4 linked regions of the Alligator mississippiensis genome follow. The protein of the gene in region 1 purifies or fractionates together with the protein of each later gene. This does not show direct contact. Links are inferred from orthologs where the notes say so. Each region holds a gene or a part of one and is shown in the gene's direction. Other genes may lie near its edges.

Region 1 (7,227 bases):
ATCGAGGGCTGCATGGCAGGCAGCCAGGGGCAGATAAACATGAATTTTCTATATTTTTTAGGGGCCCCGCAGGCCGGATACAATAGCCTGGCAGGCCACATCCAGCCCGTGGGCTGCATTTTGCCCACCCCTGGTTTAGCATGTGGCCCACACGCTCCTGCCTGGCCGCTACTCCAGTCCCTGCTCTGGCAACAATGGCGGGGATCTATAGACTCTCCATCCCTCCTCCGACTTCTGGTTCCTGCCCCCCAACCCTCCCTCCCACACCTGCTCTTGGGGGCTGTGCAGCACAGCAAGGGCCAGGCTGTGTGCTTGGGGAAAAAAAAGAAGCCAGGCTGCCCACACTGTGTGCTACCCCCACATCATGTGTGGCTGGGAGAGGGGTTTGCACATGTGATGGGGGGAAGGGGAGGGAAGTCAGTTCAGCTGTGTGGCAGGTAGCTCCTCCAGCACCAGGGTCCGGGGCCTGTGCTGCATGTGGTCCCTGGCTACCCAGAAGCTGGATGACTGCCCTATTTGTTGCCCAAGTGATGTTGGGGCAGGCTGCTCCTGAAGAGAGCGGCATAATGGGAGTCGAAAGGGGAGTGGTGCGGGTGGCAAGAGAGCTCTCTCCAGTGCTGGGAAGAGAAACCCTTGGAGAGAATTGCTCCTTACCAGATGGGAGCCCCTTTTCTTTATTTAGGGATAAGGATCAGGGTTAGCCCATTAAGTACTGGAAGGAAAGTAAAATTGCTCTCCCCAGATGATATGGGCTGTCAAGCCTGAGTTGACCCCTCCTATGCCACAGGCCTTGAAAGGGGAAGCTCAGACACCCTTGTCTGTTGTGAGGGATGGGACTGAGGCCCTCACATACTCCAGTGAAAGACTGGTTTTCAGAGAAACACATCTCTGCCCCAGAGACAGGGATGCGGAACAGCCTTCCCAACCTTCCACAGATGGGGCTGTGGAAGGGGGCTTCAGGGGAGTGGGCACTTAACCAGAAAACCAGAGATTTGCTTCCTGCTCTTAATTCTGCCTCTGCTGTGAGCAAGCTGATGCTTCAATTTCCCCTCCCTCCCTTTGCCTGGGCTTTTATGCAGTACCCAGCACAATGGCGCCCTGCCCTCAGGTGGGGTCTCTAGGCATTAATATCATCACACAGATAGAAAGCAACTTACCATTCATGCCAAAAGCACTAAGGATCTGTCCCATGATCTCAGATAGGATGATCAGCCCTGCAGAGATGCCATTGGAGACAATCCAGAACATGGCAGAGATGGTCTGCAGGGAAGAGAGAAATTTCAGTCCCTGCCATGTGTTCAAAGACACCAGTGGGGAGAAGGGAGACAAGACCACTTGCGTATGAGGTTTCAGGGGCCATGAGAGAGCTCTGATAGGAACCAATGCCTGGCTGGGTGCAAATAGCCCTCGCTGGTTGTAGGTGCAGCAGGAACCCACTAGACATAACTTACAGCAACCCCAAAGATGCTTTAACTCCCCCCCCACAGGGGCTGAGATGGCTTTGTACTAGGAAAAGTACAATAGTGGCCTCAAGTCTCCCCATCCCTACCTTTTGGATTTGGTGCCCAGCTCAGCTGCAATTCAGCTCAGATGGATAAGCTGTGTAACCAGTCCACCTAACAGATGGCAGAAACACCCCAACCAGAAACCAATACTGCCAGCTTCAGAGCCAGCTGGTTGGTGCTTCTTTCAACACAGTGTATGCAGACCAAACCATGGTGTATCTATCAATGAAACCAATATAAGTTGTCACATATGCATGCTCCAGCAGGGAGACCACTGTAGCAAAGCCATTGTAACCCTATCCCTGCATCCCACAGGATTCAAGTTACAACAATTTAGTTCCCTACAGAATCATGCAGACACAACAGTTATGCTGTCACAGCTGACATAAGCTGCAGAGCGGAACAACTCCTCCCCTTTTAAAACGGTTGACAGTTAAATCTGTCCACAGCCTGAGAAGTGGGTAGCTTCCTGAAGAGGTAAATCTGTGCTGAAAGCTTGTTCCCATGGGGCCAGAGTACTGTTCAGCCATCCAGCTGGCTCCATCGTCAAGGAGCTCTGCCTGAAATAAGCAGCTGATGCTTCTATCTTCTAGCCTGTCACAACAATATCTGAATGTCTATTATTCTTAGTTTTACCTAGGGAAAATGGAGGCAGTTTCAAACCAGACTCCTTTGAGAACTAAATGACCTGCCAGAAGTCAAGCAGGAAGCTGGCAGCAGATAAAGGCTTTACCCTGGGTCTCCCAAATCTCAGGCTCGGTGCCTAACCCACCAGACTACCTAGCCTCTCTACTCCTGACTTGTGCCCTTCACGGCCCCTATTAAATGAAGCCTTATGCCCCTGCTGGAGGGTGGGGGTGGGTGTGTAACTGTTACTTGCCCAGGAGATAAGCTAGCTAAGAAGCTGCAGGAGCTCATTACAGACAGAACTACAACTGGAACCCAGAGGTCTAACAACAGCGCCACATCTCAGTCACTTGGGCACATGCTGCCTTTTTTCAGAGCAGATACCTGGAGCTAAAGTGACTCAAACCTCCCTCGGTAGCAGGAGGCTTAGGGAAGCAAGGACTGGCCAGCACAAGCTGCATAAGAAATTTCAGATCAATAACTTTGCTCAATGTTAACCTTGATATATGTAGCACCCAGCTTTTATCTGGTGCTTTTAAGCCATAGCCTCAACATGCTCCACAAGGGAAGTTGGCATTATCCCCATCTTACAGATGGGGAAACTGAGGCAGGGGAAGGCAAACTGACCTGCCCAAGGTCACTCAGCAGGCCAATGACAAAACTGGAAACCATGTCTCCAGAGTCACAGTCCAAAGCTCAAACTGGACTCTCTCACTGGAGCTCTTTGAACAACTTTGGCAAAGCTTAATAGCTATTTCTCTAACACCGGCAGAGGGGGGCAAACTTTGTGCACAGAGACCTTCACCTCCACCCTCTTCCAGCCCCTTTGGAATTCCAGCCTTACCTCAGCCACCATCTGAACAGCCTCCTGCCCAATCATCTCCTCCAGGGTCTCCTTCATGGCCTGACCCAAATGGGACAAGAAGTCAGTGTGGACGGGTGCTTCTTTCCAAAGCTTGCCAGACCGGTTCTGAGCGCTGGCCACATGAAGGAAAGCGGCTGACATCAGGAGAGCAACAGCTGGTCGGAGCAGAAGCTGGCGGCAGCTCCAGGACCTGCAATCCCTTCCCGCCATCTCTCCAGCTCTTCTCTCTACACCAAGAAGCCCTGCTGAAGGAAATGAGAGAGGAGAGATGAGTAAAGTCACAGACAGTAACAAAGCTGTAGAAACCCAGGATCCTCCTGTCCTGGGGTCAGAGCTATCCTGCCCATGGGGAGGGCCACCCTGGACTGCCAAGAGGGCAAATGCACTCCCCGCAGTACCAGCATGCTCCCTTGTCAACTGAGGATCCTCCACGGGCCACTCTCTCATTACTGGCGCTTGGGCCTGTCTCCGCTCCCAACCTTTTGTGTTTCCCAACGACTGGCGACCGGAGGCAGCTCCTTGCGCTGTTCCCCAGCAGCCGGCTGCTCAGGCTGACTGAACCTGGGTCTAAGAGCAGGCACCCGCACCCACGCCACCGGCCCTTCGTTTGAGAAGAATCCCAGGAGCCAGGGGCCAAAGGTCAAGTCTGCCTCACTCCCACTTTGGGCAGTGACCTCAGTGTGGGGCCTGCAGAGATGGAAAGGACAGCTGGGCCCCCCGCAGCAGGTGGGGGGGTGACACACAATCCCTCTCCCACACGCCCTGCTCAGGCCTGCCCCTGGCGCAGTCCCAGAAGCCGACACTGGGGGGAGGCGGGGTGGAGAGAGATGCTTGGGCGCCAGTGCTGGGCGGGAGGGCGGCACCATGCGGGCCCCCTCTGCCACTGCCTGCTGTCCCCACACCCCAGCAAGCCCAAGGACGGGGTTGGGGGCGGGAGCAGGGCCTCGGCCCAGCCACGCGGGGACCGGGGGGGGAAAGCACACGCCCCCCCTTGAGAGCTCACCCCAGCGCGGGCGGGAGTAGGGGCGGGGCTGGGCTGAGGGGGCGTGGCTTTCTCAGCGGTTGGAGCTCACCCCTCACCCATGCGGTGCACGCTGGGAGCTGTAGTCCTTCAGGGAGGCAGTGACGTGAGGGGGGAAATTCGCCCAGTGAATTCTGGGAATGACGGTTGTGGGTCGGAAGCCGCCTCGCGCGCGGGGCATGACGGGAGCAACAGGTCCCACGAGGGTCTCTTAGGCGCCGCGGGCGCTCGGTTGCCACGGCAACGCGCCGCCGCCCGGGGCATGCCGGGAAGGGAGGCTGTGCTCGGTGGGATTCGCGGCCTGGCAGGCGGAACTGGTACACTGGTCCCACAGGTCGCTGGCCGCCAGTGGCAGCTCCCCGCTCCGCCTCGGGGCGGGCCCCCCAAACACATTCGCAGACGGAAGTGGTCGGCGCGGCCCTGCCGCGGGGCTTGGTGGGAGGACCAGAGCGAGAGGGACCGTCCCCCTGTCCCCGCGTCCCCCTCGTGGGCCTGGCACACACGCGCCAGAAGCAGAACCCCGTGACCCGGAAGCAGAAACCGGAGCCAGAGCGAGGCGGGCTCGGGACCAGCAGCCGCCATGGCCCTGATCTGCTCGAGTGAGTGCGGTGCGGCGCGGGGGAGCGAGCGCGGCCCCGTTCCCTAAGCGCTCCGGCCGGAGGCGCTGCCACCTTTCCCGCGCTGGAGGCTGCGGCGCGCAGCCCCCCGGGGGCGGCCGCGGGGCGGGTCGGGGTGGGGAGCGGGGCCGCCCCGCAGCCAGCGGCCTGCTTCTGGGCACCGCTGTCAGCAGGTCCCGGGGGCGGCTGCGCCCCGAGCAGGGAGAGGCGAAGCCCCTGCAGCCCGTGTCAGGCCGGAGCCGGGGGAACGGGTCTTCCCGAGCCCAGATGTGGGGATGGTCTGATCCTGAGCGCGGGGCCATGGCCCCCCTGGCCAGGAGCCTCCGGTCTTGGTCCCAGCAGGCGCACTGACACAGCCCAACCCTGGGACAACCCAGAGAGTTCAAATACAAATCTGTAGTGTACTTCTAGAGGGTTGAACCAAATCCTGCCCTTAATGTCCCCCCCACTCCTCCCCCAGCCCCCTGGGGGTCAGCCAGAGAGAGTGCAGCGAAGGGCAGTGAAAACCCGTGGCAGGGCTGGGGCATGTGACTTGTGAGGAGCTGAGGGAACTGGGTTTATTTCATCTAGAGAAGAGGAGACTAAGAGGGGATTTAATAGCAGCCTTTAACTACCTGAAGGAGGGTTCGAAAGAGGATGGAGCTAGGCTGTTCTCAGTGGTGACAGATGACAGAACAAGGAGCAATGATCTCAAGTTGCAGCAAGGGAAGTTTAGCTTAGGTATTAGGAAAAACTTTCTCACTAGGAAGGTAGTAAAGCACTGGAACAGGTTACCCAGAGATGTGGTGGAAGCCCCATCCTTGTAGGTTTTTAAGACCTGGCTAGAGAAAGCCTTGGCTGGGATGATCTAGTTGGGGATGGTCCTGCTTTGAGCAGAGGTTGGACGAGATGACCTCCTGACGTCCCTTCCAACACTCACTTTCTGTGATTCTGTCATTTTGCCCTAGGGTGAAGGTTCAGCTCATTGACCGCTCCTTTGATGTGGAAACAGTCGGGGTTGAAGTTTGGGATGTGTGGCAGTTTCCACCCTAGTTCTTTGTTCAGCTTCAGACACCCTTCCCAGATGTTCCCTCCCCTGGCCTAACATTTTTCAGCATTAGCTTGAGATCAAAAGTTAATTTTTAAGCAATACGTGATCAACATTGTCTTAGCTCAGGTATGAAAGTGCCAGAAAAACAGCTTACTTAGGGCCCTCCTACACATTCCAATTAAAGCTGGAAAGAAATCAGCTATAGAGTTGTTATAACTTTTCAAGAACTTTATGGCTGGTCTAAATGGGTTGTGCGATTAAACAGTTAATTGTGTAAATATATGTAACATGTAGCAGGGGCTACAGGAATCTGATACATTTTCCATCTTACTGTGACTTTTCCTGCTGATGGGATAGGAGAATGTCTCTGGGCATGCAGACGAGCCTCTGAACTAGTGGCTCGTGTGCATTTGTATTGTGCAGTGATTCTCAATTAGGGTGCTGTGCAACCCTGGGTTGCCATGAGTCATTGGTGTAGTGTGTTACCACTGGGGATGTGGTTTATGATTAGGGCCCCTAGGTGTGTCAGTAGTATCAATAATGATGAGGGGGTTGACATACACACCTGCCATTTGGCAAGGCACTTGGAGTCCTTCCTGGTTGGGCAGGAACAGTGTGTGTAAGTGCTGATAAAGGTACCACAGTTCCCCTGTGGTGGGTGCAGACTCCAAGGGCTCCATTGGCAGGATATTGAGGGCAAAGTGATGTACATTGCTGAGCCCAAGAGGTTACTTGTTAATTATGTAGATATGTATGTATACACATGCATGTATGTACCTACACACATCTCCCCTGCCCCCCCATATTTTTCCATAGTGAAGCTCCAAGCTCAGCAGACAGACCCCTTCTCTCTCATAGAGATGCACTAAGGGTAGGAGAAAGAGATGCTCAGCTCTTATATGATACCTGTCAATGGATCTTGCATAGCTTTACACAGAAGGGCAGTACTGTTATCCCTCTCTTACTGGCGGCGGAGTCTGAGGCACCGAGAGAGGAACGACTTGTACAGGGTCACCTGGCAGTGGCCTATAGAAGAGCTCGGATTATGACCAGCTCTTTGAAGGAGTGCTAGTTAGTGCTAGGCCATACTGCCTTCCTGGTCAGGCTCAGAAACGCAGGGTTTTCTTTGCCAGACCTGTGACTAGGTAGAATCCCAGGTACTTTGCTAGCCCCAGGACTCAGAATTGAAACCAGGTCGTCATGGAAAGCTGCTCCTACCAGTCCTTGAGGCTGGACAAAATTTCAGAAAACTTCCCCAATAGCTCTTCCTGTTCTAACCCTGAGTACTGTACTGAAGGTTTCTTGAATACAAGATAAGTCCTTTTTTTTTTTTTGTACCACATTAAGTAAACCATTTACCACTATCCTGGGCACATCTCTTAGTAATATTAGTAGGACAGGCAAACTGCTGTTGCGATCTATGGTACAGACAACACAGCAGCAGAGATCAATATGTGTGGCATTTTAGGCTCACTTGAATTAGCTTCAGCATTAACTGTCTCACCCTCTAAAGAAAGCCAAGCTGGTGGTTTGAAAGAAAATGAAGAGGCCAGTGTTTCTCT
Region 2 (7,162 bases), on another chromosome or scaffold:
TCAAACGTTCGTTCTCAGCTTTCAAATCCTGCAGTGTAGATTTCAGTGCAGAGACATCTTTTCTGTTAGATTTATTCTAGCAGAGAGAAAAGATGAAGACATATGCTGTCATATGTAAATAATGCTAGGTCCAACACTGGACTGGGAAGCCAAGAACATGATACCCAGCTTTAAAAAATGGAACCAAGCAAAGTGCAAACTTATGATTCCCCCAAGATACCAGTTTCCTTTCCCCTACTATTAACGAAAGGGCAGGAAATACAACCCTAATGCTCATACTGAGCACTGATGCATCATCATTGGGAAAGTATCAATCAGTCTTAGTGGCCCCACCTCAGTAAAGCATCACAGGGATTGAAAGAACCCAAAGAGGAACTACAGAGTTACTAAGAGACCTGGTGAGGAGTCCCATCTGAAGTGAGCTGGGAAATACTAGGACTATTTCTCCTGAAAAAAAAGAAGCCTTCCAGGGCGCGTGACTGAGGTAGAATGTTAGGTTACAAAAGGGACAGCAATTAGGGCCTCCTGTTAACATTGCCTCATAACATGGGAAAAGGGTCACCTGAAGAAAGTAATGGAAGGTAAATTTTAAACAAACAAAATGTCGTACTTATTATGCATTGTGTAGATAGCCTGTAGAATTCCCTGATGCAGGGAGCCAAAAGTTAAATATAGTATTTGGTTTAAAAAAAAAAGGACAGGCTAATTTTCATACATTAATACCATTTTAGCTAATTCTGAAGATTGGATGAGGGTAAAGCTCATCTTGTGCTTCAGTGTTAATTGATCAATGAAGGTTCAGTCATGAATGCCACCCTATTCAAGCTGGTCTACTGGTCAGACATTTTTTCAGCCATCTGTGTAACAGCAGGGCTTGACTATTGTCAGAGACAGCATATCAGATTTGAGAGAGCAGTGGTTTGGCTAAATATAGCAATATCCTATGTAAGGGTTGACCCTACCTCACCCACAGACTCTTGATAGAAGGCTCCCAGTTTCAGCATGCTGTTCCAGTACTTCCTCACAGTCAGCCCAACGGACATGCAGGGTCCCACTGCCTGAAGAGGAGGCACGGCTTGTTCATCAATAAGATTTTCTGCATAGCCAGTGAAGCTCTGAAGCAGCAACAGCAGCCTTTGACAGAAAAGAAATCCAGCTTAGAGCTGTATAAACATGAACACGGAGAAAGGGCCTTTCCATGCAGGTTGCTACAACCTTGCAAATCTAGAGAGGTATGTTCAGATTTGCATATGCAAAGCATCAAAGCAAGTGATAGAGATAGCATCAATGGGCAACATATGCCCATTCTTCCTGGGCCTTTTGAGACTGGAAACCATGTAGAGGGGAACAGTTGTGCAACGCTCCTTCTCAATTCTGAATCACTCTAGGCAGCAACATGCATCAGGGTTGAGGTCCTCTCCAAAGGCACCGGATCAAAGCAATGTTTTCTTTGAGATGGGATACATGGAGGTAGTCCCTGGTTTGGCCCTGTACCTAGGCCTCCCAGCTGTGTGGGGGTGACTCATAAATGAGCTCTCATTAAAACTATTACAGGCTCTGGGAAGGCCAAACTGTTAGGGCCAGGCTTTTAGAAACAGCAGTGGGATTAATAAGATTTGTGTTCTAATTTTGGTTCTATCAAACTCTATGAGACTTTAGGTAAGTCAGTTAACGTGTGCGTTGGCTTCCCAATTTGCAGAGCAAAGATAACAATGTCTATTCCACAAAAGGTAGGGATGATTAGTTAAAGTTTATAACTTACTTTGAACAAATGTAAGTCACAGAAATGCAAACCATTCATATAACCATGTTAAATTTGTGCTCTCAATTTGCAATAAATACATGTGAATGTTAAAAGAATGCTAAGGTAACAAAGTCAGGCAATGCCAGAATTAAGGATGCCCATGTAGCCTTAAATGAACTCACTTGCATCTATGCATTATGATATCATCCTCAATTACACAACTACATATTATTTTTTATTAAAGGATGCTTGCCTCATTCAGCACACAGGCTGACTGGTGCTTCACTAAGGAGTAAGCTTTCTGTTTTTTCCTCATAATTCAGTGTGTGGTCTCAAGCCTTATCTACTGAACAGTATCCAAACACTGTTCTAAAGACCAAATGGTTACTTTTCTTCTAGGCACTGCTTACTGAAGTACCTGATCCTTTCCATAAACGATTTTCCCTACCTCCATCACTAATCACTACACAGCACATGAGGCAGGAGTCCTACAGACAGCAATCTTCTTTGCTACACAACCCTGATTCTCCTACAGGATAGGTCTATCCTGGGTACTGAATGAGGCATGTAATCTGGTAACTCCGAGAGGAAGGTGCATGCTCGGTTGCTCTGTGGAAATGGCAAATCCACAATCTGGTCAGCACAAGAAGCTGAGTTAAACTGGAGCCGGCTCAGTAAGACTGAACTTTTCAGGGTTTTTACTGTCACCTGAGGATAAAGATGAGATTCTGCTTTACTTTGTGTACCTGAATGGCAGCTCTCCAGCATGTCAGTGACCTTTTAAGCACTTATATACAGTTACCACTTGCTAGACAATTTCCCTTATCCAGTCAACTATTAGGACTAAACCATGGGAAGGTCCTGCTTCCTCCTGATTTTTTTCTAAAGCTAGTGCTCAGGTACAGGCATACAGTCATAAATCTGCCAGCTTATTTTTAGACTACTGAGCATGCTCAGCTTAGTCGCACACACTTGCATGCCCACACTGCAGAAAAGAGAATTGCAAACTGCATAAGTGCCTAAGAGGCCATTTACACAGCTGGAAAACTGCAAAACAGGCTAAGGGAACTGGGTTTATTTACTCTGCAGCAGAGAAGACTGAGAGGGGATTTAATAGTAGCCTTCAACTACCTGAAGGGAGGTTTGAAAGAGGATGGAGCTGGACTGTTCTCAGTGGTGGCAGACGACAGAACACGGAGCAACTAAATAAGCCCAGTTCCCTCAGCCTCTCCTCATAAATTATGTGCCCCAACCCCCAAAACCATTTCCATTGCTCTCTGCTGGACTCTCCAACTTGTCCGCATCCTTGCTGTACTGGGGGGCCAAAACTGGACACAGTATTCCAGACGTGGCCTCACCAGCGCAGAACAGAGAGGACACTTCTTAGGGCTTTATAGCCTTACAGCCCAAAGAGGCCGTTTACAGCAAGCACCACAAGTGTCATGCCTGTCCGAGGCCCAGAATCTTTCCAAACTTGGTCACTTGGCCACATCTGGGCAGGGTCTCTCAGGAAAAGCAAAGGCGCCTCCTTGCAGAGTCCCACTTCAAAGCCCCGAGGTTTTAGCACTTCTTAAAGAAGAAGCTGGGGGATGGCCTCGATGCTTTTTTTCACAGCTTTGCTCTTGGAGCAGAAACTCTGGGTACAAGTTGTAGCCGAGGCTGGGCCTGGCGCGGGAACCGGCCGGGACTGACGGCGCTTGGCAACCGCGTTACCGGGACACAGGCAACATCTCGGAGGAGCGGCAGCCTCTCCCCAGCAACGCTGCCCAGGCCCGGTTTGTGCCTGCACCCGCTGCTTCGGGGCGCCCGGAGCTGAGAGCCTGCAGCTTAACTAGGCCCCCACGCAGTGCCCCCCACAAAGCCGCGGCTGCCGGGCGGGGACGCCGGGGCTCGGGCCGCTGTGCGGAGCCGGGCGGGAGCCCCCGTCCTCTCTCCCCCACCTGTCGATCACCAGCTCCAGAAGCGCCACGTGGGAGCGGCGCGTGAGCTCGGCGTCGCCCTCCACGTAGTCGTAGCGCTGCAGCAGCGCCACCACGTCCAGCTCGCACGACAGCCGGTCGGGGAACTTCCAGGAGCGGCAGCGTGCGGGCCCAGCCCGGCCGCACACGTCGGCGATGGCGCCCTGCAGGTCCGTCACGTCCCGCCGCAGGCTCTCCACGCACATGTGCCCGCCCGCCGGCCCCGCCATCGGGCCTGGGGTCGCCCGCGTCACCCGCTACCCCGGCAACCGCGCGGCCCCGCCCCGGGCAGAACCATCCTCCCGAGGGGAGGCTCGGAGGGCCCTGAAGCAGCTCCCGCAATAGAACGCTCCAAATCCCGCCCCCTGCTCTCCCCGGAACGTCACCCCCACCTCACCCTCTTCCACGGGGCTGCGCGCGCATCTCCTGCGCTGGTTGGGCTGCGTGCGCATCCTTCGGGGCTGCCGCCATCTTGTGCGCGGTGGTGCGGGCCTGGGTGCGCGTAGTTGTGTCCGCGCTTTTCGGGTCGAGTCGAGGCCCGGTGGGGCCCTGAGGAGGCACCATGCCGGCCGGACCCGTGCAGGCTCTTCCGCCGGCGCAGCCCTCGCCCCCAGAGGGCAAACAGGTACCGGCGCGAGGCGGGGGCTGGGCCTCCCCAGGGAGTCCGCAGCGCTCGAGGGGCGCTCCCAGCATGCAGCGGGGGCAGAGGGGGAGGGGAGGGTGCACCGCTGGCTCACGAGAGGCCTGAGCCCTGCTGAGAGCTCCTCGCACATCCCGGGCTGAGCCTGGTGCCTGACCCCCTCGTCCTTGCCTCCAGCCCTCTCCCGCCTCTATTTATACGGTTTTTAACTCATTTTTGCTGGTGCCAGGCTTTTACAAACAGTCGTGGGATTTAATAAGATTCGTGTTCTGGTTTTGGTTCTGTCAAACTCTGACTATGATCAGGTCACTAGATGTCTGTTCCAGTGCAGAGCACAGGGTTGTTGCCTCAAAGCTGCATGTTACCCGTGGAGATCCCGAGCCACTGAAGTGCAGCGGCTCACAGAAACAGGGCGTGATGCCTGTGTGAGATGGGTCATGAAGAATAATTACATATTAACTAGGGATGCTGGTTGTAGCTGTGTCGGTCTAAGGACATAGGCAGACAAGGCTCTTTGAGGAGATGCAATCTCTTTTATTAGACCAACTGAGTAGTTGGAGCAAAGTTCTTATCAAGCTTTCGGGCACAGTCACTCTTCTTCAGGCGTAGAGACCCCAAGAAATGAGAGAAGCTAAAAGTGTGGCGGGATGTCAGTGAGAATGTAAATAGGTAGAAATTAGAAAGACAGAAGGTAAAGCAGAGAGGGGAGGGGGAAGAGAGCAGGGGGGAAAGGCTAAAGGGAGACATTACAGTGATACAGGCTACAAGATGAGAAAGAGGCTGTCAGTGAAAAAGACAATAGTTGGAGATCAGGAAAACAGGAATGAGAGAAGCTCAAAGTGTGCGAGGATGTAGCAAAAATGTAAATAGGTAGAAAGCAGAAACAGGAGATAAAGCAGGGGAGGGATGGGGAAGAAAGCAGAGAAGAAAAGGCCAAAGGGAAACATTACAGAGATAATAATACAGGGCAAGAAAGAGTCTCTCGATGAAGAAGGAAATAGTAGGAAATCAGGGAGACAACAGGCAGAAAAGAAGGGGAGGGGAGAAAAAGTGGGGGAAGAGAAGAATATAAGAGGTAAGGTCAGGCAAGTACCTGGTGAATCAGATGTCAGGCAGGTTGTAATGTGTCATAAATTCAGCGTTTATATTGAGTCCGTGATTTTTTGTATCCAGTAGATTTATGAAGCAAAGTTCACAGGCTCATCTACAGAAGGTGTTTTGTAAGTTCCCTTTGAGGATTAGAACTGAGAGATGGGAGAGGGAGTGATTCTTCCTGTGAGAAGTGTGCCCCCGCAGGTAGTTGGGCATTCTTGTCTTTGATAGATTTTCAGTTCATTCTGGTGCACAGTTTGGTTTCTCTTACATATTTTCCATCAGGGCATCTGGTGCATTGGATGAGATGTATAACATTTCTGGAGGTACAGATATAAGATCTAGGAATGGTGATGGTTCTGTTGTGGGGTGTAGTTATTGTGGGAGTGTAGGAGATGTGTTGGCAGGTTTTGCATTTTTTGTTCTTCATCAGCGACTTGAACGAGGGGGTAAAAACACCCTGTTCAAATTCGCAGACAACACTAAGATGTGGGGGGAAGTGGGCATGCTAGAAAGGAGGAATAGCCTACAGTCGGACCTACCTAGACAGGTTACAGGGGTGGGCAGATGAGAACAGGATGGGTTTCAACACTGACAGGTGCAAGGTACTGCACCTGGGGGGAAGAACCAGCAGCACACCTACAGGCTGGGGAACTCCCTTCCTGTCGGAGCAGAGGCAGAAAAGGATCTTGGAATCATTATTGATGCCAAAATGAACAGGACCTGCCTTTGATGAACCTGTGCTGATTGCCCCTGAGCATGATCTCCCCTGCAGGCCCCCCACAGATGTGCTCCTTGATGATTCTCTCCAAGATCTGCCCGAGCACCGAAGTGAGGCTTACAGGCCTATAGTTACTTGGGTCCTCCTTCCTTCCCTTCTTGAAAATTGGGACCACATTAGCCAGTTTCCAATCCCCTGGCAAAAATGCAATCTATCTCTCTGGAGGAGTGTCCTTGTTGGTTGAAGGACCTTTTGAGATTTGTGAGGTGGTGGTCACAGGTATTTTCCTCACTGCAAATTCAGTGGCATCGGAGAGCTTGGCTATGTATTACAGCTTTCTTGGTGTGTTTAGGGTTATTGCTGGTTCTGTGTAGATATGTATGTTGGTCTGTGGGTTTCTTATACATGGTGATTTGAATTTTACCATCTTGGATATCAATTGTGGTGTCCAAAAAGGAAATGCTGGTTTTGGAGTATTCAAGCAATAGTCTACGGGGAGGGGTGATGATTGTTGAATCATTGTGGCTATGGGGTGGGCTATAGCCACCCCTCCCAGCACCGCCCACCCTGAACACAGCCCTGGCCCAGCATCTGGGGGGCACATACTCCCCATGCCTCCCCTGGGGTGTATGCAGCGGCAGGGAGCTGCACATCCCCTCACGCCCCCTCCCTGCACCTGCCAGACGAGCTGCCCTTAGCTTCTTCCCATTTCCGGCCCCAGGGTTTGCCTTGTACCTTCCCCTGCCCCAATCCCTCCCTCACTGTCAGGACCTTGGTCTGCCCTGCCCTCCACCACTTTTATCTCCCCCTGCCCCTCCACCGACTTACCAGCTGGACGCTGCTTGCCAGGCTGCATTCCTGGCCATGTGCATGCTGTGGCTGCACACATAGACGCAGCATTTATTAGCAACATCAGCTACACTGGCCAGAAAAAGCTGATTACTGATTAATGTTAATTTTCCTTTTATCGGTGTCGATCCGCGATGTGACTGATATATGCTAATTGC
Region 3 (7,925 bases), on another chromosome or scaffold:
CAGCATCTGGAGACCTAAGAATAAATCATACCAAACAAACTTGATCTCCTTCTTTGACAAAACAGCTAGCTGGTGGATGAAGGGAGTGCTGTGGACATAACACACCTGGACTTCAGCAAGACCTTTGACAAAGTGCTACATGACCTTCTCATAAGCAAATTGGAGAAATGTGGGGTGGTATAGCTACTACAAGGTGGATGAGCAACTGGCTTAATAGCTGGAAGCAAAGGGTAATTATAAATGGATCCATGGCTGAATGGCAGGAGGTTTTGAGTGGAGTCCCAAAGGGGTCTGTCTTGGACCTGGTGCTGTTCAATGTGTTTAGTAATTATTTGGATCCTGGAATAAAGATATTCTTGAGCAGTTTTGGAAACAATATTGACATTTGCAAACTGGGAAGGATTATAAACACACTGGAGGGCAGGAGTGCAATTCAGAAGGATCTTGACAGACTAGAAAGCTGGGCTAGAGCCAACAGGATGGCCAGTGCTGACAAATGCAAGGTGCTACACCTCACAGAGAGTAATCAAAAACAGATACAAAATGGGTGACACCTGGCTGCATGGCAGCACTAGGAAGAAAGATCTAGTAGTCTTGGTAGATCACAAACTCAACATGAGTCTACAATATGACACGTTAGCTCAAAAAGGATGCTTTAGGCTGCATCAATAGGAGCATTAGGTGCAAGACATGAGGTGATAGCACCTCTTTATGCAGTATAGTTAGGCCTCACGTAGAGTACTTTGTGCCATTTTTGGTTCCATATTTTAAAAAGGACTTGAAGAAGACAGAGAGGGTCCAAAGGTGAGGGACAAAAATGAAGAAGAGCTTGGCAGGCGAGTCACACAAGGAGAGATTGAAAGAAATAGGCATGTTCAGCCCATGGAAAAGGCATATAAGAGGGGACATGATGTCAATCTTAAAATGTCTGAAGGGCTGCCATAAAGAAAAGGAAGAGCACCTCTTCTCTCTTGTTGCAGAGAGCAGGATGTGGATTAATGGCTTGAGGTTGCAGCAAAGTAGATTTAGATTGGATATCATGGGAAACTTCGTCACTGTGAGAACAATAAGGCACTGTCTGGGGAAGCTGTGGAATCTCCATCACTGGAGGTTTTCAAGAAGGGGTTGGATAAGCATTGCTCTGGGATGATCTAGGTATAGCTATATGTGTTCTGTAAATAACAACAGTTGGAAACCCAGGAGCCCTTCCACACAAGATGTCAGGGATCATGAGAAAAGCTGTGCATCCCAGAGCAGTTGGAAATTGAAGAGGACAATGCTCAGCAACTGGAGAAGGTTATGGAGCAGAATGGATGGTATTAGGATGGATGGTAATAGGATTTTACCATGCTTCTAGTCTTTACTGGTTGCCACAGTGGGCCAGAAAGGAATTTTTTCCCACCTGTGCTAGTCGTATGAGATTTTTTTTTCTTTTTATGTCTTCTGCAGAAGCATTGGTGTTGGCTGCAGCCAGGGCTGGGGATTTTAATAGCCCACCAGTGTTCCTTCTGGGACTAAAACTTGGAGGTTCCTGGCTAGAGGGGTCTTGCCATTCTTCTCAGGATCTCACCACATTTGAAAACAGGGAGGACTTTTACCCCATGGTCAAATTGGTACGACCTAAGTGGGGTTTGCCTTCCTCTGTAGCAAAGGGCATGGCCCTCTTCCTTGGATCTCTCAAGTGAATTTTAATAACTCTTCCATTTTGATAACTCCTGTGGACTGACCTGTTCTTGCAGCCCAGCCCAGTCCGACCCAATGAGTCTGAAGTTGTTTCTTTATTACCAGTTCCTTCTTCCCAGTTCCTTTTACAAAACTAATCCTTACACAATTAAAAGTTGTTACTAATGAATTATACAAACTGAAGAGCTAGGATTTAATCAAAAATAAATATTTACTAATTAAAATGTAAAATAATATCATGTATCAAGGACATAGCCTTGAAAAAAGAACTGAGATTACACTGGGATTATGGGCCAAAATCCTTTCTGGGTTACCCCAAATCACATGTCTCGTCAATCACGGTACACTTCTAATAAGTCTGAGTTGCACACTGCCCAACCTAAAGATTGGTATCTGCGTGCTGGGCTGACTACTGACAGCCCCTCAGGCTTCAAGAAGGAGCTGGGTTTGGGCTAGGATTATGAGTGAAAATCCTTTTTGGGTCACCCCAAAACACACCTCTCCAACATCAGGGGACTCTCTCAAAGATGCTGGGCAGGACCCTGCCCAACCTGAAGCTTGGCTCCTTAATAGCAGGCCCCCAGGCCTGGGATTATGTATGGAAATCCTTTTTTGGGTCACCCAAAACCACATGTCTTTGCCATTGTGTGTGGGGGGAGGGGGGGTAAGGCCCATATGTTGCTGTTTTGCCAGGCACTAGATGGAATTAAGAATAGCTGCATACAAATATAGGGGTTTTACACCAACTTTTCAAATTTACCTTGAGCCCCCACCCAGAAACTTGGTTAAATAACTTTGAACTTGGTGTTATAATGTAAACAAACCTGCCCACTCGTAAGCAAATTTAAATTAAAACAGATTTATTACAAGGGAAAAGGGGAGCAATACCTTAACGATTAACCTTTAACTGTAGTTCAGTATTGATCAGTCATAGTCTTGACAACCCAACCTGGGGAGCTACCACCTAGCCGTCCCTGGGGAAGACAGTCTCACCCGGGGCTGCCATCCAGGGACTCTACCACCTGCACCAGCTTAGTAGTAAGTGCTGGGTAGGGAGATCCCCACCAAAGGCCCTGCCATGCTTCTCCTGAGGCTCTACTACATATGCCAGCCAAAGTATCAAGGGCTAGATAGGGAGGCCCGCACAGGAGTTACTTGCGCTCTGATGCTGGAGAGAGGTGTTAGGGTGCAATGCTAGGCAGCACTGCTGTGGATGCCACCTCCAGGGTTCTCCATCACTCCGCCAGGGAGCTCCATCACTGCCAGGGGTCTCTGCCACTCTGCTGGGGTTTCTGTTACTCCTCCAGGCTGCTGGTTTGACGGGCATCCTCTCTGCATATTAATGAGGGGTACGCTGATAAGGGATAGACAAAGTTGTCAGTATGGAACATAACCTTAGTCAAATGTGACGAATATAATCAGAGATACGTGTATATGCAACTATGAATTTTTTAATACATATCACTATGAACATGGAACCTACTTGAATTACTTGCAACATTATTTGACTTCTTGGTTCTGGTTTAAACCATATTAAAAATTACACTTTGGTTTTTCTTCTTCGGTTTTTCATATTAAACATGCAACAGTCTTCTAAGACAGAGCTATAGGCCATTATGAAGATTTTGAGGTAAGCACCTGTCATGTCTTTTCACCATGAACGGGTGAGGTTATTAGTTTCGCAGATCTTTTTTCCTACTTTGTGCCTGTATATTAGTTAAGTAAAATAAAGCACAGTTATGTAAATTGCTTTCTGACAGTGAAGCAAATATTATAAATTTTCTTTCCTTCCTTTTTTTCTCATGGAAATATATGATTTGTATATAAACCCACACCAATTTTTCCAAATGTAATTTCTTTCTGTATTTACTTGAATCCAAGACAAGTTTTTTCCCCTCATTCAACATGGGGAAAAACATGCCTCATCTTGGATCTGAGTACCAGCACTCTGTCTCCAGCTATGTCAAGGACTGGGCAATAGTACAGGTCAGGGATCAGGCAGGGGATGGGGCAGCAGCTTTCATGAGCAGCGCACATGAAGATCAGCTGAGGAATGGGGCAGCTGTGTGGGTGGATCGGGCATCAGCATGTGCATATGATCGGCCAGAAGCAGCATGTGTTGGGAACTGGGCAACAGAACGCATGGGGGCGTTGGGAAGCAGCAGGTGTCATGGGTAGGAGCAGCCGTACACATGGGGAAGTGGGTAGGGTACTGGGCAGTAGTGCGCTTTGGGATTAGGAGGCAGCAGATCTTGGGGCCTGGGCAGCGGCAGAGGTGGAGAACAGCATGTGACGGGGATCAGGCGGCAGGGTGGGTTGGGAATTGGCGGGGGTCAGGTGACTAGGGCCCAGTGGTGAGTTGTGGATCAGGGGACAGGTGGCAGGGGTGCGGGCACGGGGGTCAAGTGGCAGGGGAGCAAGGTGCAGGGGCAGGCTCCGTGCCTCTCCCCCTCCATAGCTGAGGACAGATTTAAAACAACCCTCCAGTAATCAGATTCTATACATGGGAAATGACAGCCAGTTATAGAATGATGATATGTTCTAAATTTCCACATATGGAATTGGCTTACTCGGGGTTAAAGCATCCTACATTCAAAACCATCTTGGATTCAGGCAGATCTGGTATTAATTGCAAAATAAATCATCCTTATCAATGCGTAACATTCCATCCAATAGCCCAACATGGAAGATAGCTGAAAACACCGTATTAGCACAGCTCTTCAGTGGCCACCAGCAGGCAGGCTGGCTCGCAAACCCTGAGCCGTGGGTCGGGCACTGCCCTGGTCAGTTATTGAGACGTGTCCCCTAGCTGCAGAGCCCTGTGGCTCGAGTTGATTCGAAGTATTTTGCCCCATAATCCCAGCCCTTTATTCGAGGGTTTGTACTTGATGCATTACATTTTACATCTTTATTAGTCAATTCGACTTTCTGATAAAACCCCAACTGCGCAGCCCCCCTACTTCGTTGCTCACAACCTCTACCGCTGCAAAGACTAGAGGACGGCCCAGGACCCGAGAAGACCGATCCAAGCATGCAGCGGCGCGGCCCCACGCAGCACCAGCCCCGCCCCGCCCCGCCCCGCCCCCAGCGCCACAGGTGAGCAGGGTTCGGAGCGGCCCCGCCCCCACGCGGAAGTCACCGTTCTACCCCTGTGATGTCACACTTCCGGTTTGAACCCGGACATAGCTGGGAGGTCAGCGCCGTGGGAGCTGATTGGCCGGCACGTTGGCGGAGCGGGAGCGGCGCGCTCGCTGATTGGGTGGCTGCGTGCGGCGCGCCGGCGGGAGCTGCGGGCCGCGCGGCGCTGCGCTGTTGTCCGCCATGTGGACGAGCCACGGTGAGCGCAGCTGGGCCGGGGTGCGGGGCCAGGGGGGCGGGACTGGTGCGGGTGCGGGTCCGGGTCCGGGTCCGGGGTAACGCGGTGCTGCGCTCCTTCCAGCAGGGTCCGAGAGCGGCGGCGGGCTGTCGGCGGGCGGAGGATACGTGCAGTCCCCGGGCGGCTTCGGCTCCCCGGCCGCCACCCAGGACAAGAGACCGGTACGTGCCCCCGCGCGTGCCCGGGCATGGGCCCCCCGCTCCCCGGGCATGTCTGGCAGCTGCCTGCGGCCTTGGCCTGTGCTGCAGGCAGAAGGCTGAGCATTTGAATGCTCCTTAATGCTGCCGTTGCTACTAGCAGGTTTCAGACCTAACTGGGAGCCGTGCGGAGCGTAAACTCACTGGAAAAGCGTTCTTGCCTTACGCGGATTTTTGTCGGAAGACGACCGGGGTTTTGCTCATGTGGTAGCGGTGCCTGTAGCGCCCGTGCCAAGTACATGTTGCATGACAGGAGAGGTCGGTGCGTGGGCTGGTCTGGGTGGCTGTTTCTCTGCATGCAAAGATCAAAATGTGATTCGAAGCGTGAGGAAGATCTTGCGAGCGGTCATCAAGCACCAGGAAATCTAGAGAGGTGCGAGCCCTGTTCCTGGCAGCTCTCGAGCGCAGGTCGGACACAGCGCTTGTCTGGGACGGCGTTGGTAGGGTTTGACAGCTTTGAGGAGGGGGTTGGACCAAATGACCCTTGAGAACCCTTCCAGACTCTTTTTTTTTTTAATGGTTTTGTTTCTCTGAGACTCTCCATTCCCTCTTGCAGAAGTCCCGGTCCCAGAACATCGTGCCGTGTACAGTGTCTCAGTTGTTTTCTGCTCAGCAGGTGGATGAAACGTTCCAGGTCCGAGATGTAGAGATTTCACAGGTAGGAATCGGATCTGGAATGGGAAAAGCTTCAGAATCGACAGGAACCTACATCACAAAGTAACTTTTTTGTCTGCATCTCTTCTAGGTCCTTATCATGGGGCTCATCAGACAGGCAGAGAAAGCACCGACAAACATTCTCTACAAAGTGGATGATATGACTGCAGCCCCTATGGATGTCAGACAGTGGGTTGATACTGATGTAAGCACCAGGTTGAGCTTAGGATTTAAGATAAGGGGGCATTTAAGTATTTAATTTTTATCCGTCTTTTCGGGTCCAAAGAAGTAGTATTTACCTTGTAATGTAATACTAATTCAGCTGAGTACAGGGACTTTTTTAATTGGGCCTCTTATTAAATGAGCATTGGAGAATTCTTTGCCTACCCTGTCAGATAGTCTGCTTTCGTATTCAGCATTTAGTTCCCTTTTTCTAAATGCCATAGGAACTGTGGCATGTCAATACCCTAGTAGAGTCCTTAATAGATAATATGCCTCTTTTGGTACATTCATAATATGACATGCATATACCTAGACAAGCATCACTCTAACTGGAATCCCTGCATTTATGGGGGCTGCTCTTCTATTCTTCACTTCCTCTTCAGTTCTGCAGCATTCCATACGTCTCATTAAAAATGTTGTCCTTTCAATATTTTCAAAGTTATTTCATAACTGAATTGAAGAGGTCGCTGAGTCAAATCCTGTTTTGCCCAAAGATAACTAATTGTTGCTTATACATCCAAATCTAGCTATGGAAGAGATGTTTTGTGCCACTTGTGGACACATCCCAGCACAGGCAATCTGCTTCATTTGGCAACATCTATTTCTAGCCTTAGTTAGAGGGTGCTTTGCTCATTGGCTTAGTGAGATGGGCACTGCCATGGAGGGGTAAGTGCCATAGGTTCTGGTCCCTGTTTCTGTCCCTGGTGGTGTTACTCCATTTTCTTAAATTTAGTAGTTCATGGGTAGAATGGATAGATTGCAGCGCGGGGAGGGGAGGTGTGCAAAATAAGATGCGTCATTAGTTTCCTTGGATTCTCCCACACTGCTATAGTAATGCACATCGCCTTTCCCTAATATTTTAGGGATGTGTAATTGAAAGCTAACAGTCTAACCAAGCTGAGTATATTTGAGTGTGTGTACCATTCCGTTGTAGCACTGTATTGAGATGCCGTGCTTGCTCTGTGCATGCCACCAGGATTTGTCCACCTTTAGCATGGCACTGAGCATATGCTAATAAGTATCTCGGAGGCAGAGCTTATTGATGGAGACACAACACTGTGCTATGGCAGTTATGCTGCTTTGAACTTTGGGTCATGTCCAGATGAGCAAGGGCATGCACTTGCAGCATCACAAATAGTAGTGGCACAAAATTGTGCTGCTACTCTGTGCCACGGTGCACACCCTTACACCTGTGCTTTGTGAGGGACAAATTGTCCCGCTTCAGGCAAACTGCTCTTTCCTAACTCTTCCTGACTCCTGGTGTGCTGGACCAGCTGGGGCACAAATAAAATAGTGGAGATGCTCTAGCCAGCAGCCAAAGCATCTCCCTGAAGGGCCAAGCTTCTGTTTGTTCCAGTGCATGCTGCTATAACGCGTGTCACACCCCTTTTTTTCCGGTGCTGCTTTTTTATTTATTTATTTATTTATTTTTTTGCTACTGGGAAATCCTGGTAGCAAACTTTTGTCCCTCTGCTGCAGATTTACAGCTCAGGGCACATTTTAACCTTCACTGTGTGCGTGGTTTTTGGCACCACAAACCACAGAGGAAATAGGCCCACTGCTTGGCATCATAATTCACCAATATAGACACACTTTGAGACCTTCATTTGCCTGTACTTAAAATTTGCTAACTTCAAAAGGTGTCCTGTACTTGCTCCAAGACAGCTGACCACGCTTGTGGTTATATCATTGTATTTGTAGTAAGATGCTATAATAAAATTTGTTCCTCTTCTGTGGTATGAATTGTGTACATGAGTTAGGGTTATAGTTCTACCCAGTGAACAAACAAAAAA
Region 4 (7,904 bases), on another chromosome or scaffold:
CACACCAGCCAGGACTGAGTGGTCCATCCTATGGCGTAAATGGCTCATCCTTTGCAGTCTCCATGGACAATGTGCTATGGACCATCTCTCCTAGTCAGAGCTGGCAACATCCCACATCTGCTCTTCCACCTCTATGGAGTGGATTTGGGGCTCTGTGACTTTACACTCACACAGGTAGATAACTAGACCTTTTCTCTCCAAAGCAAAGGCGTTTAATGTCCCCCTTTGTGCTCCCCCAACCCTGGTCCCTCCAAGCTCAGCTGCTACTTTTACTTCCCCTTGGCCCAGCCCAAGTAGATGGTGCTACTGGAGAGCAAGGGGGAGCCAGCATCTGTCCAGCCCAGCCCAGCCCAGCCCATACTCCTCAAATCCTCAGTCTGACTCGGAAATCTCTTGCTCCTGAAGGCAGGAGGAAGTGGGTGGGGAGCAGCCTCAAATGGCAGAAACTGGGTTCCATTGACAGCATGTCTCAAAAACAAAAAATAACCCTCTGCTGACGAGTGATCTGAGCAAGCATGAGATGCAAGGGAGGAATCAACAGGGAGTCCACAGAGGCTGCTTTCCTGGCTGGTGGTTCAAGGTAAGTGGTATCTGAGGTTCGGTGCTACCTCTCTAATGAGAGATTTTTAAGAATCTCTTGCCCCGTAAAACTGAAGGAGCTGATTTTTTTTCTTCGCCCCCTGCTGAATCTGTCTGGTCTGCTGGTCAGATCTGCGCTGAGGCACTTCTAAGGTGGATTTTAACCCAGCAGAGTGCAACAGCTCAGCCAGGCCCGTTCTCACCACTGGTGTGCAACACCATCTTAGTGCATGTACCTTATTTACCCACCTACCACACTCACCTCCGTCCCTTAAAATTAGCAAGTGAAAATTGGGGTGCAGACCTTAAAGGAAGAAATGGATTCTGAGCCATTCAGTTAAAAGGAAAAATCCTTTTTCTTCTTCAATCTGCCTCTGCAAAACAAAGTGCAGGTCTTAGCTGGGGGGATGTGTGAAAACATAGAGTAATGCTGACCAGGTACTAATAATATTTAGGATGTTACTTTCCAAAGCACTTTGCAAACACAAGCCACCTTTCTGTCTGGCTGCAAGACTGGGAAGTGTTACCTTCTCTGGTTTTGAGGTGGGGGAAAGATAAAGGGTTTCTCTTCCTTGCAGAGGAGATACACATCCAAGCTAGCTTTAAACTAGCTGGCTGGGGTACTAGGAGGGGTTATTTGGAGGTAGGTAGCTTGCACTGAGCTCTTTACCTTCACAAACTATGAGAAATGCCCATGCTTGCTAGTTTAAAGCTAGGCTGTGGTAGACTCACAGAATAGCCATACCCTGAGACCCAGAGAAATGCAGCAACTTCTACCCCACCGCGGCAAAGTTAGCACTGAGGAATCCTGGCTCTCCATCCTGTTCTCAGACCTCTCTCCCCTTTTAAAAAACTGCTTTTAAAATAAAGGAACATTCACCCCAGAAGACCTAGTCTGTTGCATTTCAGGCCTTACTGAATTTTTTACAGCCCATTTATAAAAGCCCATAATAACAGGGTCTGTCATTAAAAAGCCGCTGGATTATTAACGGGATATCAATCAGATTCGTTTCCCAGCTGCTGGCTCTTGCTGTGTCCCCACCACCCCCTCCTTTCCCTCCCTCCTTCGCAGCCACAAATGGATGCACATTTTGGGTTCATTTACATTTTAATAGCTAACAGTTCTAGCCCCACAAGTGCTGACCCACCTCTGCACTTATGACTCAGATTTGGATGCGTGATGGGGTCAGGGGTCCCTGAGAATTGTAGAGATCCTGATTTAAACTAGTGGAGTCTATGACAATGACTAAAGGCCAACTGGAGATGATTTGAAGGCTCTGATGTTTTTTATCTTTCATTGCTCCAGGGTGGTTCAGGACCCAGAAGCATCAGGATATGGTAGGAGAGGCTGTTTCATAGTATCCCTGCTGAATCTCAGGGCTGAGCCCAAGGTGAGACATCTAACCTGATTTTTGCTGACAGCTGGGCAACAGGGTGCTGAGTTGAACTGAAGCTAAACTAAGATTCCCCCGGTGCTTTTAATGAGGTGGGACTGGGGACTCCTAAAATCCCAGAGGATTTTAACCGGACCTCACTTCACTAGCTACCATTTTCCCTGTGCTGTGATAGGTGGTGCTGAGCCTGGGGACTCCTTCACTTCCACTGTTCTGTGAATAAACAGGGCACTTCGCTCCCCAGGCGCCTCTCAGTCCCGAGCCTTGGCCCTCAGGAAGGGCTTTGTGCTACACCAGTGCTCTAGAGGATGACGGCTTTCCCCATTTATTAATCGGATATTGATTGATCTCGGGGAGTATGTCACCAGCATTGGTCTCATGGCATCCTAGTCTTGCTGGTAACCTCCCCCTGACAGATACATTAAATACTGGCTTGGTAGAGTGGGTCTGATGAACAGGCAGTGGCAGATAATGTGACCTCTCCGTGCTGCTCAGCAGATGCGCCTTTTATGAGAGATCTCAAAACACTTTACAGAGGGCAGTGAATGAGGCTTTCCAGCCCCCAGGTAGGGTTAGGGTTATTTGACCTTGTTTTCCTGTAGGGATACAGAGCACCAGGGAGATGACATGCCTTCAGGGCCAGAGCTGGGAAGGGAACTCAGAAGCCCCAACTGCAAACCCTGCCCTGATCATAAATGCTCCTTGACAGAGTGATTATCTAACCTGCCTTTTATAGTGCATTTACTTGTGCCTGCTGCCCCGTGTCTTCAACAAGCAGAACGCTCTTTGCTCCCCAGCTCAGCAGAGAATCACGCTGTACCGACGTCTGACTTTTGGCAGAACTCCTGAGGGGAAATAAATAAACCTCGTCTGGCATCTTGCGTGCGCTTCTCTTTCATTTGCTCAAAGTCACATCTAATCTGTCCTACCTGGTTGCCCAGTGCATTCACCTTCCTGTCACTTCCTGGCTCCCTCTGTTTTCATCTCTGGGGCACTGCTGGCTAATTCATGTGTCATGCCGTGACCCGGTCACTGAAATGTAGGTGGCTCCCTGGATCACTCATCGGGAGGAGTTTGATTCAACTGCCCTGCCCCTTGACACACAAAAATGATCCAATGCCAGGACAAATTGGGACACCCATGCCACCTGCAGGACCTCCTGCACGGAGGTGCAGACTATGCTGAAATATGGGATTGGCTTGATGGTGTAATCCCACACTGGTGTGCAAATATCAGTCTCTCACTGCTGTAAAGATCTGGGCTGGTTTCAACAGGCTTGGCTGGCCTGCCACATTTGGAACAGGCTATTGAGGGAGGTGGCAAAATCTCCATCCTTGGATGTTTCCAAGAACAGGTTAGACGGGGCCGATCCTGCCTTGAGCAGGGGGCTGCGGCCTCCTCGGGGCCCTGCCAGCCTGACTCTTCCACGATTTCCCCCTAGCGGGTATTTCCCTTAAAGCCCCAGCTCCCGGAGCCAGGGGATCATGCCATGCTGCAATCTTCTCTGCTTCTGCTTAAACAGCAATGGGGATCTAGCCCGGGGGGATGAAGGAAATGACACAAAGGTGGAATCAGAGCATGGTATGGGAAACAGACAGCCCCCCGAAAAACGGGCAGCCCAGCTGGTTGCTTCGGGGCCAGGCTCGTGACGGCGGAGCGCTTGGGCCTGGCCAGGCTGCTCTCGTTTCAGCAAGGGCGGGGGGCATCGCCCTGGTCCCTGCCTGCAGAGGAAGGGGGCGCCGTGCAGGCAGTGCCCAAGGGGGGCAGTGGGTGCTTGACATGGGCCGAGGCAGCACCCCCTGCGCCACCCCCTCCTCTTACCCCAGTGCCCCCAGGCTCCCACACGCTCCTTTTGCCCCCTGCCCCCTCCTCTTTCCCCAGTGCCCCCACCCCCCCTTTTATCCCCCTGATATTGCCCCAGTGCCCACCCCCTCCTTTTACCCCCAGCCCTTCCTCTTGCTCCAAGTACCCCCACTCCTCCTCTTACCCGCCCCCGCCCTAGACTCCCCCCTCCCAGAACCCCGTGGGCCCGGTTGCCATGGCGCCCGGAAGTGGGCGGGACGGCGCGACTTCCGCTTCCGGTGGCGGCGCCTGTGACCCCGGTGGACCTTGGGGGGCGCGAGACGGGGTGAGCGTGGTCCCCCCGAGACACCTCCCCGCAAAGGGGCAGTGCCCCCAGCCCTGCAGCAGCCCCGGGGCGGCAGGGCGCAGGAGGCGGGGGTGAGGGGGGGCGCTGGGCGCAGGCAGGGGCAATGGAGGTGCATGAGCGGGAGCGGCCAGCTCATTGCAGGGCGGCTCCCCGCTGGCGAGGCCACACACATCTGGAGCCCGGGGTCCAGTTTTGGGAGGGATGTGGACCCGTGGGAGAGAGTGCAGCGGAGGGCAAGGAAAGTGTCTGTGGGGCTGGGGGACAGGACTGGTGAGGAGAGGCTGAGGGACCTGGGCTGATTTAGTCTGGAGAAGAGGAGACTGAGGAGGTTGAACAGCAGCCTTCAGCTCCCTGCAGGGGGTTGCAAAGAGGACGGAGCTGGGCTGGTCTCAGTGGGGGCAGGCGGCAGACAAAGAGCGATGGGCTCCGGTCGCAGCAGGGGGAGTCAAGGTTGGATATTAGGACAAAGTTTCTCCCGAGGAGGGCGGTGAAGCGCTGGACCGGGTTCCCCCCGGGGGTGTTGGAGTCTCCGTCTTTGGAGGTTTTTAAAGCCTGGTTCGAACAAAGCTTTGCCTGGGATGATGTAGTTGGGGCTGGTCCTGCTTGGAGCAGGGCGTTGGACTAGATGTGACCTCCCGAGCTCCCGTCCCACCCTCATTGTCTAAGAGTCTAAGTCTGTGGCTTTCTTTCCCCACCTTTCTAGGTCCCCGCTTGTGGTGCAGTGGAGACCAGTCACGATCCGGTGCCTCCTGAGCCTCAGCCTCCACAGCCGCCATGGCGAGTCACCTGAAATTCATTGCCCGGACAGTGATGGTGCAGAACAAGGATGTGGAGGCGGCATATAGGTCACTGAACAAGTAAGAGGCAGTGGCCGCCTTTGCTGGGCCCTGTTGGCAGCTGTGTTTTAACAGGGAGCCGAAGGATTCCTCCCTGAACCCCCTCTGCTGGTACTTGAGCTGCAGCTTGGATTTCATGTCATGCTCTTAAAGCAAAGAATCCCCCCCTAGAGCAGTGGAGTTAGAAGGGAGCTCCAGGGGTCACATCTAGTCCTGAGGCAGGATCAGTCCTGTCCCAGCCATTCTATACAATCCATCATCTAAACTCTACGTAAGGCTACTGTCAGCCCTGGCACAACACAGACCTAACCCCCTATGTATGAACCAGTCATGTTCTTGGCACTCGTGCAGGCAGGGGGGTTTTGTTAGTGTGTCGCACCATCAGTCTTGTGTTCTAGTGGTTAGCCCAGTAGATTCGGGATTGGGACACTGGATTCTTTTCTTCCTTCTATATGACGAAGGAGACGAGGACACAGGGAAGTCAGAGGGGCCATTTTTCAAAAGTTGATGAGTCTGGGTTGTCTGTTCCCCTCTATGCGTCACCCGGAGGGGATCAAGAGAAACCTGGCTGGGTTTAGCAGGGTTCAGTCTAGTGAGGTTAGACAAAGAGACCACATTCTGGCTTGCTTTTACTATGATCTGTGATTACCCTCTGAAGAAAATTGGCTTCTGATCATGACAGGCCCTCCAAGCTCAGCAAAGAACTCCCTGTGACCCCAAAGCAATAAAACTGAGCTTCAGCGAAATGAAGCCCAGCGAATCTGAGCTCAGAATGGATGTAGAAGCAACCACGGTCTCACAGCTTCACCCAGCATTGCCCGTCTTCCCAGTGGGTGTTGTCAGGTCACAGCAATGAGGATCTGAACCATTCATAAATTCAGACGCTAACTTTTAAATGTATCGGTCACATTTCAGGGGTGGAAAAAATAATGTTCATGTTACATTTCAAGGGTGGAAAAGGTAATGTTCATATCTAACAGCTACACTGTATTGCTCTGATTATAAATTGGCCTCTGAAGGACCCTACTACAATTGGCACTTGGTTTATTTGCAGTCTCTGGCTGTATCCAGGCTTCTCAGCCTGGTCTGATTTTTTTTCTTTTCCTTGTAGTATTTTTGTGCAGTAAAAAAAACAAAAACAAGTCAGAATTATTGTTTCCAGTGCAGTTTTCGTTTTGGTGTATTTAGTGCATTTAACCTTTTGGGTCCTTTCTGCTGCAGTTTGAGTCTCCTTTGGCATTTTGTAGGGGCAGCAGCAATTCAAGGTTTGTTTTTTTTATCTGTAGTTACGGATTTTTATTCAGGGGAAAAGCTGTTTTACCTAATACTGTATTTGTTTGCATGCTGCACATGTCCTTTTCCCAAGAAGCAGCTCTCCAAAAGCGGAGTGGGTGTCTTAAGAAGGGAAGCTGGTTTCTGTGTCAGAATAGAAGCATGGAGACACTGTAATGGTTGCTGGAGCTCTGCTTCTTTCTCTGGTGTCACAGTTAATTTTAACTAAGCTGCCAGAAGCTGCTGCTAATTCAGTAGCAGGTGCAAGAAGATTAAAAATGTAGCTGTGGCTGAGCAGTGATGTTCAGGATTCAGCCCTGACTCTGGAAGCACCTTTTTTCCCCTTAATTCAGCCTTAAGATGCATGTCTGATTTGGGGGTGGGGTGTGATTTGTGAGGAAATACAGTATTGTACAATGTGCAATGTCTCCTCATAATCAAGACAGTACTGGAGGTCTGCAATAGGATGACTCCCTTTGGCAATCAGTTGAGGGGAACATTAGAAACATAGCTTCATAGTCATTAGGGGTTGGAAGGGAACTTACAGATCATCGGGTCCAGCCCCTTAGGCAGTTAAGACTGCTGGAATCGGATACCCCAGCAAGGTGTGTGTCAAGATGTATTTTGAAGATTGCAAGGGTGGGTTACTACACCACCTCTGGAGGGAGCCTGTTCCAAACCCTCGGCACCCGACTTGTAAAGAAGTTTTTCCTTATGTGTAGACTGAAGCGATCTTCAATCAGTTTGTGCCCATTATTTCTTGTCCTCTCCTGGGGGACCTTGGTGAATAGTTGCTCCCCCAGGCACTGATGTTCTCCCCTGATATACCTATAGGCTGCCACCAAGTCCCCTCTGAGTCTTCTCTTCTCCAGGCTGAACAGCCCCAAGTCTTTCAGCCTCTACTCGTATGACCTGGTCTCTAGGCCTCTAATTATGCACATGGCTCTCCTTTGGACTCTCAGGGTTCTCCACTTCCTTCCTGGAGTGCGGCGCCCAGACCTGGACGCAGTACACCAGCTGTGGTCTCACCAAGGCTGAGTAGAGCAGGAGGATGACATCCTTTGCCCTGCTCAAGATGCCTCAGTAGATGTATGCCAGTGTTTGATTAGCTCTGCTAGCTACAGCATCGCATTTGTGGCTTGTGTTCATTTTGTTGTCTACCATAACATCCAGGTCTCATTCAGTTGTGGTACTGGCAAGCATAGCACTGCCAAGTCTGTAAGTGTGCTGGGGATTATTTCTCCATAGATGGAGCACTTTACATTTCTCTGTATTGAATGTCATCACGTTGATGTCCACCCACCTCATAAGCCTGTCCAGGGTGACCTGTATTGCAGGTCATTAAAAGGAAGAGGCAAGGGGAGTTGCTTAGAGCAGTACAAGCTGTTCTCACTGGAAAGGAAGGGGTGGGAATGACTGGACGAACTCCAGCTGAATAGCAGGAAGTGTTTCCTAATGCTGAGATCTTGGCTTGCAGGTTCAGGTACTGTCGTCACTTGAAATTAATGAGGTCAGTGCGCTGGAAAGTAAGCTGTAGGGAATAACCCTGCTCTGGTATGGGGTGGACTTTGAGCCTTCAAGAGTTCCCCTTGTGTCAATAAGAGAAGGTTGATTGGAAGAGAGAGGTGGAATTGGCCTCTCTGTCTCTGTGCCTCAACTTCCCCATCTGTGAAA

Evidence for each region.
Region 2: the proteins of PRPF19 (region 1) and SF3A1 fractionate together in Homo sapiens (co-fractionation; 3 studies listed by BioGRID and IntAct, with this or other methods). This does not show direct contact. The link is inferred for Alligator mississippiensis from reciprocal best matches to the Homo sapiens genes PRPF19 and SF3A1.
Region 3: the proteins of PRPF19 (region 1) and RPA2 purify together in Homo sapiens (affinity purification with western blotting; 4 studies listed by BioGRID, with this or other methods). This does not show direct contact. The link is inferred for Alligator mississippiensis from reciprocal best matches to the Homo sapiens genes PRPF19 and RPA2.
Region 4: the proteins of PRPF19 (region 1) and PRPF3 fractionate together in Homo sapiens (co-fractionation; 3 studies listed by BioGRID, with this or other methods). This does not show direct contact. The link is inferred for Alligator mississippiensis from reciprocal best matches to the Homo sapiens genes PRPF19 and PRPF3.

The regions. Positions count from the first base shown.
Region 1 is NC_081825.1:177,221,402-177,228,628, reverse strand, and holds the start of PRPF19 (pre-mRNA-processing factor 19), read left to right. Parts: upstream 1-4,225; 5' UTR 4,226-4,598; coding exon 4,599-4,617; intron 4,618-7,227. Other genes in the region: TMEM109 (transmembrane protein 109), read right to left, coding at 1,158-1,260, 2,977-3,242, 3,396-3,444. UniProt on the Homo sapiens protein: Ubiquitin-protein ligase which is a core component of several complexes mainly involved pre-mRNA splicing and DNA repair. Required for pre-mRNA splicing as component of the spliceosome.
Region 2 is NC_081833.1:27,737,870-27,745,031, reverse strand, and holds the start of SF3A1 (splicing factor 3A subunit 1), read left to right. Parts: upstream 1-4,160; 5' UTR 4,161-4,264; coding exon 4,265-4,327; intron 4,328-7,162. Other genes in the region: CCDC157 (coiled-coil domain-containing protein 157), read right to left, coding at 1-76, 963-1,134, 3,685-3,932. UniProt on the Homo sapiens protein: Component of the 17S U2 SnRNP complex of the spliceosome, a large ribonucleoprotein complex that removes introns from transcribed pre-mRNAs.
Region 3 is NC_081829.1:16,844,665-16,852,589, reverse strand, and holds the start of RPA2 (replication protein A 32 kDa subunit), read left to right. Parts: upstream 1-4,915; 5' UTR 4,916-5,004; coding exon 5,005-5,020; intron 5,021-5,122; coding exon 5,123-5,220; intron 5,221-5,812; coding exon 5,813-5,914; intron 5,915-6,001; coding exon 6,002-6,115; intron 6,116-7,925. UniProt on the Homo sapiens protein: As part of the heterotrimeric replication protein A complex (RPA/RP-A), binds and stabilizes single-stranded DNA intermediates that form during DNA replication or upon DNA stress.
Region 4 is NC_081838.1:18,909,145-18,917,048, forward strand, and holds the start of PRPF3 (U4/U6 small nuclear ribonucleoprotein Prp3), read left to right. Parts: upstream 1-4,891; 5' UTR 4,892-4,896; coding exon of another isoform or gene 4,897-4,979; intron 4,980-7,904. Other genes in the region: MRPS21 (small ribosomal subunit protein bS21m), read left to right, coding at 4,897-4,979. UniProt on the Homo sapiens protein: Plays a role in pre-mRNA splicing as component of the U4/U6-U5 tri-snRNP complex that is involved in spliceosome assembly, and as component of the precatalytic spliceosome (spliceosome B complex).